Tamandua tetradactyla: one gene and its partner. The protein of the gene in region 2 interacts with the protein of the main gene of each other region in a pairwise test. Links are inferred from orthologs where the notes say so. Each region holds a gene or a part of one and is shown on either strand. Other genes may lie near its edges.

Evidence for each region. The genes of interacting proteins can lie anywhere in the genome.
Region 1: the proteins of PPP1CA (region 2) and WBP11 interact in binary tests that used the Homo sapiens proteins (3 or more experiments, as listed by UniProt). The link is inferred for Tamandua tetradactyla from reciprocal best matches to the Homo sapiens genes PPP1CA and WBP11.

The regions. Positions count from the first base shown.
Region 1 is NC_135333.1:77,380,066-77,387,392, reverse strand, and holds the start of WBP11 (WW domain-binding protein 11), read left to right. Parts: upstream 1-4,309; 5' UTR 4,310-4,628; exon of another isoform or gene 4,629-4,799; 5' UTR 4,800-5,513; exon of another isoform or gene 5,514-5,796; intron 5,797-6,785; 5' UTR 6,786-6,835; coding exon 6,836-6,899; intron 6,900-7,327. Other genes in the region: SMCO3 (single-pass membrane and coiled-coil domain-containing protein 3), read left to right, coding at 1,905-2,582. UniProt on the Homo sapiens protein: Activates pre-mRNA splicing. May inhibit PP1 phosphatase activity.
Region 2 is NC_135335.1:6,994,593-7,002,063, forward strand, and holds the start of PPP1CA (serine/threonine-protein phosphatase PP1-alpha catalytic subunit), read left to right. Parts: upstream 1-4,456; 5' UTR 4,457-4,534; coding exon 4,535-4,589; intron 4,590-5,086; coding exon 5,087-5,218; intron 5,219-5,376; coding exon 5,377-5,607; intron 5,608-6,148; exon of another isoform or gene 6,149-6,247; coding exon 6,248-6,352; exon of another isoform or gene 6,353-6,774; coding exon 6,775-6,998; exon of another isoform or gene 6,999-7,082; coding exon 7,083-7,217; exon of another isoform or gene 7,218-7,294; coding exon 7,295-7,405; 3' UTR 7,406-7,471. Other genes in the region: TBC1D10C (carabin), read right to left, coding at 423-612, 765-830, 1,397-1,511, 1,709-1,815, 1,899-2,006, 2,192-2,291, 3,033-3,184. UniProt on the Homo sapiens protein: Protein phosphatase that associates with over 200 regulatory proteins to form highly specific holoenzymes which dephosphorylate hundreds of biological targets.

The DNA of each region.
Region 1 (7,327 bases), on a different chromosome or scaffold from region 2:
TTTTTACAGGTTCCTCTTTGTTAGTCGAATTTGGAGGAGGGTGTGTGTGGGAACTTTTTGTTTAACTTCAGGTATACAGACCCTCACACCTTTTCTGCAAGTTACACCTTCAGATAATGGTATATGATAGCTGCTAGAAATATTTTCCACTTTTTCAGAGGAAGAAAGACTCCTCTCACCTAAATATCTAAATAGTGATATAGTTGGTGATCTTCTAAATCCGAAGTCAAAAACTAGAGTTTCTGTTACATGAAACAATCTGAAAACAAGGAGCCAGAAAAAGACAAATTTAAAGGAAAATTCTGGAAGAAAATAATGAAAGTGCAAATTTGCGGTTCTCTAAAGTTTGCCACACATTGAGTTTATTGAGTTATTCTTGAGAATATTTAATGAGACGCTCAACAAAGTAATTTCTGTAAGTGGGAGTAGAAAATACTAGTTATTTTTTAAAACTGTATTGTGGAAAGTTCTGTTATATGCATGCATATGTATATGTGTATGTAAGGTATGTGTGTGTGTGAGTGAATAAAAATAAATTTCTGACCATGGTCATCTTTATTCTTCCTTCATTTTTCTAAATCTAACTCATAAGGTTATTTTTCTGATCCATTTTGGAAAAAAATTCCCCTTTACATTTTCAAATTTTATCTTTGACTTAGAAGACAGGTTATTTTCATTTTTACTTTCCTCCATCTCATGCTTCTGAGGTCCCTCATATCTGGGCTAAGAACCATTGTCCTAGAAAAGGTAGGGCTCAAATTACTCAGGATGCTGCCTGCTTAAATATGCTAGATCCCACACAGATAAAGTTATGGGATTCCATATTCTCTTTCTTTTCTCCCAACAGTTGAAATGAAAAAAAAAAAAAAGTTCAAAACACATAGTAAGCCTACTAACATGTGTCTGTTAATAGTGTGTTCTTACTGGGCTCAGTCAAACTACAGATTTTTCACCCAAATAAATTCAGAACATGCATGTTCCCTTTTCCTCTAGATGGTAATGCAAACCAGAAGTACAAGCACAAGAAGGTTATCTTATCACATTATAAATCAGATTCATTAAATTCATTGTATGGTGCCATCTTCCTACATATCCTTTAGTACTTTTGTGAAATGGCACTGTCTCCTGTCTCTCTGAGGCTACGCTAGCTTATCTTATTAATGGCTAAGTGCAATATAAACCATTCTAAATAAGTAATGTCTGCACGTGGAGAATCATAGTTAGTCATAACTGCACTATACCCTATATCATACTCACCTTCTCTTCAAGAAAAATTTCAATCCAAAGAGTCTTGAATATATACTTTTATTGAGAGGATATACCTGTTTTTCCAAAGATTTTAACACATGGGTGTTGTCTTCAGATATCTCTTAGGTTTGTAAAACAATTTGCCTGTAAGAGATACGACAGATTTTGTAAATTAAGATAGCCAAGTATATAAACACGAAATTTGGTATTAATAGCCCTGAAAGAGATCTTAAAGCCTTCTGGCCCTGACACTAATTTACTCCAAATAGTAGAGCAATCTATCTGATGTGGTGACTGGTAGAAGGGGGTGGGTGAGATGGTGTCAAGGAGACTGGTAATTAAAAGCTATTACCAAATTGAAGTTTGTTTTAATTTTAGGCTATTAAATATTACCTGGAAAACAGATTTATTAATAACCATTTCTTATCTAGGAGTTCTTTCCACCACAAAATGTAAAGCCTTAACTTATTCATCAGTGGGTTATATTCTGAGACACAGGTTATCTATCATACAATGACTGCAAGTTTTATAAAAGTAATTGTTTTAAGAACAATGGAGTAAAAGATTTCCTGGTCCAATCTATGCAGACAGCAGATATTTATCTAAGTTCTTAGTGAGGATTTACTTTTTTATTTTTCAGAAATCTTATTTGAAATATGGCTCAGAGTGATTTTCTCTATCCAGAGAACCCAAGGAGGCGGCAGGAAGTAAATCGTCTTCACCAGCAGCTTCTTGACTGCTTATCTGACAGCTTCCATGCAACCAATAAACTTATTGGGGTTCTAAATAAGCACTTGGGATGCAAGTTGGCCTCCATTGAGATGAAAAGAGATGGAACCATCAAAGAAAACTGTGATATCATCATACAAGCCATGACAAAAATTCAAAAGGAATTGCAAAAGGTTGACGAAGCACTAAAAGATAAATTAGAGCCAAACCTTTACAGAAAACTTCAAGACATTAAGGAAAGGGAGACAGAGAAAATTGCCATAGTGCAAAAGGTTATTTCAGTCATCCTGGGAGAAGCCACTTCTGCAGCCAGTGCACTGGCTGTTAAACTCGTGGGCTCCAGTGTCACAACGGGCATAATTAACAAGCTGGTCACTGTGCTAGCTCAAATTGGTGCCTCTCTCCTTGGCAGTATTGGAGTTACTGTTCTTGGCCTTGGCATAGACATGATCTTCCGTGCCATCCTGGGGGCAGTGGAGAAAACACAGCTTCAAACAGCCATCAGAAGTTATGAGAAGCATTTGGTGGAGTTCAAGTCAGCCTCCGAAAAATATCATCATATTATTACTGAGGTCACCAACACAGTGGAACACCAAATAAAATAAACAGGCATTTGATTTCTCACTGGAATATTTTTCTGCTTCCTTCTCATTAATAGTGTTTTGCTTCCTTGATTAGGTTCATTTTCCATACACTTCCAAAAAGGGTACAAACTGAGTAAATAGTTTGGAAAGTGGGGATCAGAAATGCGAAAACTAAGGCACTGGAGTTTCTTTTTGTTTTTATCAATGAATGCCTGGGTCAGTCGGTCCTAGAGCCTTCAAAATAAAAGATTATGTAAATTCTTGCTCTACCTGACCAACATTGGGGCAAACGCTATTGTAGAGCAGCAGGGGTAGTTACCCTTTCTTTTTCTAATCCCTAGTCAAAATTCTTAAATTTACATTGAATATAGAAATTCTCATTTCCATCATTAGTTTCAGCCATCAACTAGTTCTAAGGGGACATACTTAGCAACTGCTGCCTAAACACAAGCTGTAGGCCTTCAACTGGAATTAAAGTATTACCATATTTTCAATCATAAGATCAAATCCAATTTTCTATAAACTGGAAGAGACTAAAAAATGGTTTGTACCAATCTGTTTTAATGAATAGTAGCAACGGTTCCATGATCATCTGCTAATTACACACTGTAATCTAGATGGATTAAAAATATGAAGTTGAAAGTTAAAGTTAAAAAGATAGGGGTGCACGGGTAGAGTGCTCACCTTTCATGTGGGAGACCCAGGTTCAATTCCCAGACCATACACCACCCCCCCCCCCCCCAAAAAAAGATAAAGGTCCGTTTCTGCCGTTGCAGTCAACTTGCGATATTCTGATCGAGTATCCCGCAAGTCAATATTTGAACCCTCTGGAACATAAAAATAAAAACTCCAGCCATACACCAATAAAATGCATTTGGGATACAGGAGAGGCAGCCCCTACTCTTTTAAGAAATTGTCATTTATGGGAATGTTATCCTTTATTACCTATGAGTTTTCAGAGAAAAAGAAATTAATTTCATTTTCAATAATAACAAAGTAGGCAGCTGTCTCTGCTATACAGAGCTTTTGCTGGCTAATTCCACTAATTACCTAATTTCAGGAAAATTCAGAGGCTACATAGGCCTAATGGTACAGTTGAACTGTTCAACAGATACAAGTGCTTTCTGAACCCATCACCAATTAGTGACATTCCATTAAGACTCTTTTAGCCTCTACTTAAGAAAATTAATATACTGCTGTGAGAATGTTGTATTTGATTCTTGTCCCAAAGTACAAGAAATATCTTGAAATTTAAAACACTCAGCATATCTCAAGTCACAACGTTAGACATAAGACCTTAATTTTTCAAATGTACTTTGTGCTTTCTTTCCATCAATGCTTTTTTAGTTCATTGCAAACAATGTGGCTCACCCTCAAAAGTGAATCTACTAAGACGAAGGTTAGTTTAAGTAAGGGGCCTACCTTATATTCTTTAAGTCCATTTTGACTAATCTACTAAAAATTAACAGCAACATAAATATTCTGAAATATTTATAATTGATAGAATTGGCCTAAATCTAACTTGTTTTCTTACAGGGGAAACTTAATTTAGGATCAGAAGTAACCAAGCAAAATTTTTTTCAATATTTTAGCTTACCTTTAAGGGGGAAAGAGAAATGAGGAGTTTTAGGGAAAGAGGGAATAGAAAAGAAATGACTACGTCTAGAGATGGTAAATATTTCCAAACGTGTAAGTGACGTCATAAAGGACAGTCAGGCAAGGAGCCAACAAAATTAAACTCGCCAATAGTAAATGTACAACTGAATGCACATATATCCTTCAGTTCCTCTTCAAAAAACAAATCCTGTCGATTAGCATTCTGGATCCCTAATGCAGGCACTGATGTGCTCAGGGGTCTGTGTGTTCACAAACCATTACTGAACTCCGGGATGTACCAGACGCCCACGTGGGCCCACCTGACCCTAGCAAAGCGCCTCAAACACAGCGCCAAGCGTTATTCGGCAACTCGCTTTCAAATGGAGTTGCGCCCAAAGGACCGCATCCGCTTAAGTCACCAGAAAAGGAAAAATCCAAAAAGGAGCACAATTCCCAGGAGATACAATCAACGTAAGACATCGTCCCTACGTTCAAAATACGGGTCTCGGTCCACACAATAATTGATGCCCCCGGATATTAAGTCAGAACGGCCGGCGTTGGGGGGGCGGGAAGGGAAACAGGAGTGCCTTGCCATCAACCAATTAGATATCTGCCCCAGCTTCTCTTTTATTATTCCTATAGGACTAGGAGTCTTCGTACTGCGTAAAAAGGCGGGCTGTTAGCAGACAGCCAACCAATTTAGTATTTTAACCAAGCGGAAGAGAGCTTGATCCTAGTGTTCTTGGGTATTCTGGATGGTCCCCAAGACTGAAAAACGGTAAGAGACCGTCCACCCGAAGACACAGGAAGTGACGTACCGATGGCGGAGGGGCGCGAGCTTTCAAGATGGCGGTGGCTGGCTACCTGAACGAGGGGCTGAGGTGAAGACCCCTACGAAGTAAAAGAGGCCAGAAATCGCCCACACCCCAATTCTAGCAGTCCCGGGAATTCAGCAGAAGTGTGAGTGTGCGGGTGGTTCCACTCCGCTTTTTCACCTTTCCCGTCCCTTCTAGGGCCCGCGCGGGTGTCTTGGAACTCCAGGCCCCGTTTCTGCGTTCTTCCTCGCCCTGGTTGGTGTCTCTCGAGTCTCAATTTGGGGGATCCCCGGGCCGGAGACGTCGCGGTTTCCAGCGCTTAAGAGATAGTTTTATCTAGGTTGGTTGGCGCGGCTTCCTCTGCACGTTGACCGGCTGCTCTACGTTTCACGTCGTCTTGAGCCTCGAGTCAGGGTCAACCGTCGTTATAGTTTCGGCAGTTGCTGCTAGTATTGCCTCCTTTGGCGGACCTGGACCCCGTCCCCTGGGAACCTTTTTGGCTATTTTCAAGTTACCCAACGTTTTGTGGCCTGATTACCAGGTGGCCTCTGTTTTAGACCAAAAAAAAAAAACAGTAGTTTGTGCGGACTAACCCACCAGTGTATTTGTAAAGATTGACTATAATCTGTGGGAGAGGGTCAAAACATCAGTCTGATAATTGAGAGAAGAAAGCAAAAGAAATACAGGCAGATCTGAGAGCTTATATATGCACTTACTTTGCTTGTTCCCTCACTCGTGGGTTTTGTTTTTTTCGTGAGAAAGTAACAGTGACAGGCTAAATTCATTACCGCTAGAACAGCTCGGAAGCATCTAGCAGAAATCAGGTTAATTGAACATTTATTTTAAGAAGTAATACCGTAATCAACTGATCTGACAATGCCTGTGTAAAGGGAGAGAGAATATAATTGTATAATCTACCAAATAATCTACTTCATGATCTTCCCTTTGGCTCTCTTTTAAAAGTGCCTGCTTTCTAAAGAGAGGAAATTTGTTAACCCTTATCATTGTAAAGAGAGTTTTAAAAAGTTACATCTCATTCATTTGGAATAGGGGAAGAAATGATATAATATGGTCTTAGCCTAACAAAAATTTTGCGTAGAAAATATTTTCCCTCAACCACAATTATCACATTTAGGTATTTTTAAAAATACAAATCAGGAATCAAGTAGGTACTAGTTAGGAAAATGTATGTCGATAAAAATGGAAGTTTATGAAAGCTTCCTTATATAATGCTTATTTTGAGTATTTTCATTTTTAGTTTTAAATTTTTGGAAAGCAAGAGCTATATCTGAATTAGAAGTATATTTCAGTTAATGATTTTTTATGGTCTCAGAAGTGTTGGGAGAATGCATGCTAAGAAAAACTATGAATAGGCATGGGTGAACTATTTGTCTTTGGGCCCAAATTCCATACCCCTATTCTTTTTTTCATCCTACAGATAAATAAAGGGAAGCTGTAGGGAAAGGGCTAATGAATGGCTTCCGGTGTTCATGGTTTGTGCCATATTGCTGAAAGTGGTTGATTTTTTCAGTCAACAGTCAGAGTTATGATTGATTTTTTTTTAAGGCTACATTGATGATTTAATCATATGCACAGTGCTTTTCAGACCCTTTGTCTTACTAATGAACGTTAAAGATCTAATTTTTCCTTGTCAAGAAAGTTGAGGCCATCTTTCTTGGATACTAAATTTGAGAATAAGAACAAGTTCTCAAAAAATTAATCAAGACTATTTCTTGTCAGATATTAAGGTACTCTAAAAAGGGGAAAAAATTATGAATACAGAAAAATGTAAGTTACTTATTTGTATTTTCAGGTTGCCTTTTTTTTTTTTTGATGAAGAAGTAAACAATACAGATTTTAAACATGGGACGGAGATCTACGTCATCCACCAAGAGTGGAAAATTTATGAACCCCACAGACCAGGCCCGTAAGTGTCCATTAATGTGCAATGATAAGCAAATGTTAAGGAATGGTAAAAAGTGTAAGCATTGGGGAATCTGTTTATATCATTATGGCATAATTACAAGATCAGTAGTGATATACATCAGTTGTAGAAAGTTAACCATTGTTCTTGTGAGTGGTAAAAAGTATAAGCACTGGGGAATCTGTTTATTTCATTGTGGCATAATTACAAGATCAGCAGTGATACACATCGGTTGTATAAAGTTAACCATTGTTCTTGTGAGCACATGAGTTAAACTTCTAAGATGTAAAAAAATTAGTATTTATATTACCAGTTTCAAATTTGATTGGTTTGCAGTACAGTAGAATTGGCTTAAAGCTTTCTTTTTATACTTAGAATTTGAACAGATGAGGTTTATAAGCACTCATTTAGTAGGTTATGGTATTTTTTCC
Region 2 (7,471 bases):
CCTCGCCCCAGGCCCTGGGCCTCTGCACCTGCTGTGCCCCCCAGCTCCTGCCCATCTGCCTCTGTGGAAGCCCCCCTTGGTGCTGGTCCTCCAGGATTCGTCTTACCACTCCCTGTGTTTTCCCATCCCCTACCAGGGGGTTCCTAGGGACAGGCCCTGGGCCCCTGCGCCTGCTCCCCCCAGGGCCAGGCACCCTGTCCAGCACAGAGGGGAGGCAGCAAACAAATGCGCCAACTGCATGTGCTGTGGCCGCCGCCATCACCCTCACCTCATCACAGCCGGGCCCCAGGAGGGCCTCTCAGGTGCTGGGGTCTGCCCGGGCAGAGCAGAGCGCATTCAGGGCCGGCCAGCTGAGCTCCCCGGGGCAGGGTCCCCGCTCCCCCCCTCCCCCACCCAAGGCTCCAGCCCTGGCGCCCACTCACCTTCACTGAGGAAGGCGTCCCAGACACGCAGCACGGTGGGGAAGGGCAGGGAGCGGGCGAAGAGGCACAGGAACCACTCGGGCAGGTAGAGCAGGGGCCCGACGCCCACCTGCTGCAGGTGCCTATGCACGCGCGGAAGCAGCCGCCGCAGCAGCGCCGCAAACACCTCGGCATCCAGCCGCACGGCCTCCTGCGCCCACAGCCATCAGCCTCTCCCCACCCGGCGCCCCACCCGCTCCCCACCCCTCTCCCAAACCCCAGGCTTCAGCCCTCCTCAGGCGGCTCCCCCCGCCAGCGCCCACCCCATCCCCGCTCACAGGGGCCCCCATCCCAGCCTCTCACCATGTGGGGTCCATAGTAGCCAGGGAGGTAGACCTCACAGATCTGTACCAGGCACCAAAAGGCCTCCTGGGGGGTGGGGGGTGGGCAAGGCACAGGCCCGTGAGTGCCCCCCACAGAGGGGCAGGCAGGGCAGGACCCAGGAGCCTGGGAAGCAGCTGGGGTGACTCTGGGGTCCCTCTCAGAGCCTCTGCCCTGGGCCCAGTCGGGGGCCTGGTGGTGGGTTTACGGAGCCGAGAGTTATATGGCTCGGGATGGTGAATTGGGGAGGGGGGGGTCACAGGATTGAAGCTCACTGGTCAATGGTTGGGAGCATCCCAAAGTTCAAGGCCTGGGGTTCCTGGAGTCATTCGGGTCAGAGGTCATGGTGGCAGGGTTCAGAATCGGGAGTTGTGAGCTTAAGGGGATAAAGTCAAGGGCCCCCCACGTTTCTGGGATCAAGGTCATTGGGGTTGAATGCCACTGAAGGTGGCAATCATGAGACCCCGGGTCACTGAGACAGGGACTGGGGGTCAGAGTCCCTAGGGTTGGGGGCTATGGGTGCAGAGCTCAGAATCATGGTGGGGGACACCTGGGCCACTGGGGCTCCGGGGTCAGGGTCTCGGGTCCCTGGAACAAGGTCAAGGGTCACTCACCTCTGGGGGCAGGTGCATGAGTAGCACGGCGGCCACGGGTCCCTGGGCCTGGCAGTAGCCCTGTTCTGGCCGATACAGGGTGTAGGCCTTGAGAACCTGCTGGAGCCCCTGCTGCCTGTGCCAGAAGACCCCGTTAGGGGCCAGTCCCCCAGGGTGTCCCTTGCCCACCCTCTAGTGACCTCTGTGCTAGGCCTCAGCCTTCCTGGCTCCCCTGAGATAAAAGGATGTGAAGCTGGGCGAGGGGGAGGAGGGCTGGGCCAGAGGACCTGGGGCTGGGGGCCTGGGGGTCCCTGGCCATCACCAGCCTCGTACCCATGACCTTGAGGTGACACAAACATCTCGTGCAGAGGGAACTGGCGGTGCAGGTCCCTGCCAATGGTCTCCATCCACTGTGGGTCTCCGGGGGCCGAGGCCAGCTCCTGTCAGGGGGAGGCGGGGGTCACGGCTAGAAATGGCAAAGGGCTCTGGGAAGGGGAGGCAGGAACCCTGCCCACTCGCTCACCTGATAGGTACCGGGGCTGTTCTGTTTACACACGTGGGCCCCACACAGCAGGGGCCAGCAGCGCGCCCGCAGGGCTGAGGGGATACCTTTCCGGCACTGCATCTTTACCTGCAGGTGAGGCCGGGGCAACCTTAGCCAACCTCACCAGCCTTACCTGCTGCCCTTGGCCGGCCCCCAGCAGGCCGTGCCCCCAGGCAGGGAGCAAAAGCAGCATCTGCGGGGGCTGGAGGGATGGGTGGCCCTTGTCAGGGGCTGGCTCCAGGCCGAGGGGAATGGGCCACCCTCCCCCTCACCTTCTTGTACCGGCGAGACATGGTTTTCTCCCAGTGTGACGTCATCTCCACCCACTTCATCTCCCGCTGGCGGATAAGGTCTGCAGGGGCCTGACCTGGGCTGGGGACACATGCATAGGTAGCCAGGTGTCGGGCAGCTGTTTCCTAGGACCCACTCCTGCGAACCGCCCCCCATGCTCCCACCTGAGCCCAGCTCCTGCTCCTGCCGATGACCTGTAACCAAGAGCTGGCAATGTTGTCATGGGGATGGGAAAGGATGTGGCCTCTGATATGGGCGGAAGCAAGAGAGACTGAGGGGTGTGCATGGGGGGAGGGGTTGGCTGGCTATTCCCCCTCAACCACCCTGCCCAGGACAGGGACACAGATAACTCATAGGGAAAGCTGGCTGGTCCAGCATCCTGGACTGGCAGCCAGGGATTCAGAGTTTGACTCTGGTTCCGTCTCTGATCTGCTTGGACAAGTTCCTACCTGTCTCTGGCTCTGTTTTCCTGTCTGCACTTTTGGGGAGGGGCTAGGTGTTGTGGGTTCTATGGTTTGGATCTGGGATTCCTGGGCTAGAGACTAAAAAGGGAAGGCTGTTCAGCCGCAGGAGAGGGTGCAAACCCTTGGAGGTTTGGGAGTACAAGAGACATTTGGAACAAATCCCTCCTCCCCCAACACACACCCCCCCCCCAGCCTTTTCCACCTTAAAGTTTCACCTGAAGGAGAGAAGAGAGGTGATCTGGCTCAGTGTCTAGCTCAGTCCCTACTGCCACACCCTCCCAGACCTTTGAACACCTCACTTTGGAATCCAGACCCCATCCTCAGTCCCGGCTTCCCCACCCCACTCCATCCCACTTACCCAAGGTCCGCTGAGCTGCCCCCAATGAAGCCATAGCGGTCAGCCTGGCGATACGGGCCGGGTCCACTTAGCTCAGAGTCGGACCCCAAAGAGCTGGAGTCATCCTGCAGCTCGGAAGGCTGCACCAGGTCCTGCCCCAGGGCCTGGGCCATGGTGCCCCCGACTGTGATGCCACAGGTTCAGGCTGTAAGACATGGGGGAGAGCCAGTCTAAGGGGTGGCCGCTGGCCAGCCTGGGGCCTGGGCTCCCATCAGTTCCTAGCCCCAGAGCCAAAATGTGGGGTTGGAGCCGGCAGGTTTCAGAGCATCCCGCCAAGCCCCGGACATCCCCTCTTCTTTTGAGGGAGGGAAGGCCCTGACGTGGCAGAAAAGCCTGACCTCTGTATGGAGCCCCAGGCCCAGCCCCTCTCCCCGGCAGCCCGGGCTCCCCACCCGGCCATACCTGACCCTCCTCCTCTCACTTCCTCCTCAGCCACAGCTACAGCAAACCGGCTCCGGGCCCCTCCCAAGGTGTGGGGGGGAGGTGTCACCCCTTCCTCTCTGAGGCTCTTCCTGTCAGCCCCTGGGCCGGCCGTGGGCTCCTCCCTCCCTCCCCGTGGGCTGGGTGGGTTCCTGGGTGGGGTGTGATTGGCCAGGGTCTGCCAGAGGCAGAGGCCAGGCTGCCTCCACTTTTGAGGTTCCTGGTATGTAAGACACCCAAGTCAGGGCTCCAATAAGAATTCTGGTTTACTTAATGTTTGATATTCAGGGGGGAAGCCTTTTAACAGGCACACATACAGCATATTGTGCTTCTCACGTGGTAACTGTGGGACCCATAAAGATTTTTGCATGCACAGAGGCCGGGAGGACCTGACTATGGCTTGGAGTTCAGGAACAGGTGTCCTTGGACCCCACAAAGACTCAGAAGGATGAGGGCCTCCGCGAACGTGAGTCCCCCGTGTTGGGCCAGCCCCTTGCTAACTCTGAGCCTCAGTTTCCTTTTCCGGAAACTTTGAGGATTTAACCCGCAGTGTTTTAGGAGGCGGTCTGGGCTGGGGTTCCTCGCGGTTATTCACGCGCTCATACCACCCTCCGCCTAGAGCAGGGTTGATGAAGGCTGACGAGTCTCTGCAAGAGAAAAACAACTTCCACAGCGTTTCCGGTCCCTTAACCTCGGAGCGCGTCTGGGCGACTCTTTGTGGGCGGGGCCTGGCCCCGCCCACACGAACCCCGCCCCGAGCACCTCAGCAAGATCCCGCCCTAGTCGCGCCAAGCCCCGCCTCGCCCCCAGAGGCCCCGCCCCCGGGCTACCGCGGCCTGTGCGCCTCCTGCCCAGCAGAGGCGCTAGAGCGTGGGGTCGGGGCACAGGGCGGAGGCGGGCCTGGGGGGCGGGCCCGGGCGACGGGGGGCGGGGGCGGGGGCGGGTCCGGGCGGGCGGAAGGAGAGCCAGGCCGGAAGGAGGCGGCGGGAGGGCGGGAGGCAGCTGCGGGCTCGGAGCTGTAGGGCCGGAGCGGCGGCGCCGCCATGTCCGACAGCGAGAAGCTCAACTTGGACTCTATCATCGGGCGCCTGCTGGAAGGTTGGCTGAGGCCGGGGAGGGCCGCGCCCGCCGCGCCCTGGCCCGCTGCCCAGCCCGGAAGTGGCGCGCGGGCGGGCCTGCCCCTCCCGGGGCCAGTGGAGACTGGGCGGGGACGGGCCGCGAGGTCCAGCCGCCTCCCCCACCCCTGTCGCGGGCTCCCTGAGGGGTCTGGGGTCCGATCGGGCACGCGAAGCAGCCCTCTCTCCCGGGAGCGCACACGGTGGCCTGGGGCTCCTAGAGTGAGGGAGAGCCCTGAGAATCCCAGCCCGGGAAAGGGGTTCTGCGATATTAGGTTTTGAGTGGGGGGACCCCAGCGCACCCTTTTCTCGAGGGCCTTGTTTTGGGGGGCATGAGACAGGTCCTGGTCGAGGAGGGGTGTCGGGAGAGACCCAGACGAATACAGAGGTTCCCCTGGGGCGGTCGCCTGTATATCGCCACCCTCTGGCTCCCCAGGACCTCAGAGGCCGGGGTCCTGACGCCCCATTCCGCATTCCCAGTGCAAGGCTCGCGGCCTGGAAAGAATGTGCAGCTGACAGAGAATGAGATCCGTGGTCTGTGCCTCAAATCCCGGGAGATTTTCCTGAGCCAGCCCATTCTTCTGGAGTTAGAGGCACCCCTCAAGATCTGCGGTGAGTTCCCTGCCCCAGCCCCCTTGGGCTTCCTGAAAATGGCATTACCCACCCCACACCCCTCCACCACCCCCACTCCAAGTTCATGGATTCCTCCTCCCTTGAGGAAGCCAGTCCAGGCACTGCACCTGGTGCTGACCGGATTCCCTGGGTCCCAGGTGACATCCATGGTCAGTACTACGACCTTCTGCGGCTGTTTGAGTACGGCGGCTTCCCACCGGAGAGCAACTACCTCTTCCTGGGGGACTACGTGGACCGGGGCAAGCAGTCATTGGAGACTATCTGCCTGCTGCTGGCCTATAAGATCAAGTACCCTGAGAACTTCTTCCTGCTTCGTGGGAACCACGAGTGTGCCAGCATCAACCGCATCTACGGCTTCTACGATGAGTGTGAGTGGTCCCGGGGTGTGGTGGCTGCTCGACTCCTGAAGGGCTCATCCCTGTTCTGTGGGACCCTCCTGTTGGCCTGGCATTAGCCATATCAGTGTCTGGCAGGTACCTGCTAGACTGAGCTTGCAGGGCCGGGTTCAGTTCATTTCTGGCTGCCCCGCCCTCCTGGCATGGGGCCTGGCACTTGGAAGGGTTTGGTGAATGGATGCTGACTGGAGGGCTGCCCATATTCTTAATGCTTTTCCTCAAGGCCCTGCCTGGTGACTCCCCCACCCCCAGGACATCCGCTGCTTAAGCACTTAGGGTGTCGAGCTGGGCTGGGATCTGCTGGCCAGAAGAGAAATGGAGATAGGCCAGACCCCACCTTGGCCTGCTCATGGGTTGGGGCAGGTGTGTGTGTGGGGGGGTGCGTGTGTGTGCCAACTCTACGGATCCTGTTGGGTTCCTGTGGACTGAGATGCTTTGAATTCCATCTTGGAAGGTGGTCCACAGTGCGGGTGGGGTGGGAGGGCGAGCCCTCCCCGCCTTCCACTCTCTTCCCTCAGCTGTGTCTGACCAGCCTGCAAAGCGCCTCAGAGAACCAGGCTGCGGGTGGGGCGGGCAGCCTCCTCACAGGCCGGCATCTCCCTCCTCTGGGCAGGCAAGAGACGCTACAACATTAAACTATGGAAAACCTTCACCGACTGCTTCAACTGCCTGCCTATCGCGGCCATAGTGGACGAGAAGATCTTCTGCTGCCATGGAGGTGAGAGGGCCTCCTTGGAAGCTAAAAGCCCCAGCCACATCCCCGGGGCCCTGGAATAAAGTTCCGTTAGCTGTCTTGGGGGTTAGATGCCTTCTCTTGAGGAAGCTGTACTGCCACACCCCCGCCATTAGGCAGTTTCTTGTGGTGCTCAGCATTCTGCTCTCAAGGAGTTCATCTTTCTTCCAAGCGCTGTGTTCCTTGAGGGCAGGGGCTTCTCTGGCTGGTTTGCCTCTGTGCTCAGGGCCTCAGACATGCAGAGGGAAGGAGGGCCAGCTCTGGCTGCCTGAGCCCCCACGGGTCCAGGAGAGGGGCCAGATGGTGGTGGTAGGAAGAGTGAGGCTGGTTGGCAAAGGCTCCCTCGGAGAGGGGGTCTGGTTTTGAGGCTTGTTTGAGGAGTTGACTGTCCTCCCTGTACCCCGCAGGCCTGTCCCCGGACCTGCAGTCCATGGAACAGATTCGGCGGATCATGCGGCCCACAGATGTGCCTGACCAGGGTCTGCTGTGCGATCTGCTGTGGTCGGACCCTGACAAGGATGTGCAGGGCTGGGGCGAGAACGACCGTGGGGTCTCCTTTACTTTTGGGGCTGAGGTGGTGGCTAAGTTCCTGCATAAGCATGACTTGGACCTCATCTGCCGGGCGCACCAGGTGGGCTGGCCTCTCTGGGTGGGGCAGGGAGTGGGGGCTGGGTAGGGCCGCACAGGCTGGGCTGACCACGCCCATCCTTGCCAGGTGGTAGAAGATGGCTACGAGTTCTTTGCCAAGCGGCAGCTGGTGACACTTTTCTCAGCTCCCAACTACTGTGGCGAGTTTGACAACGCAGGTGCCATGATGAGCGTGGATGAGACCCTCATGTGCTCCTTCCAGGTGGGTGCAGGGGAAGAAGGGACCAAGGGTCCTGGGCCTCAGCCCAGTGAGCCTTACCAGCTATGTCTGTTTTCTAGATCCTCAAGCCCGCTGACAAGAACAAGGGGAAATACGGGCAGTTCAGTGGCCTGAACCCAGGGGGCCGGCCCATCACTCCACCACGTAATTCCGCCAAAGCCAAGAAGTAGCCGCCCCGGGCCTGCCCCTCTGCCCCAGATGATGGATTGATTGTATAGAAATCACGCTGCCATGGA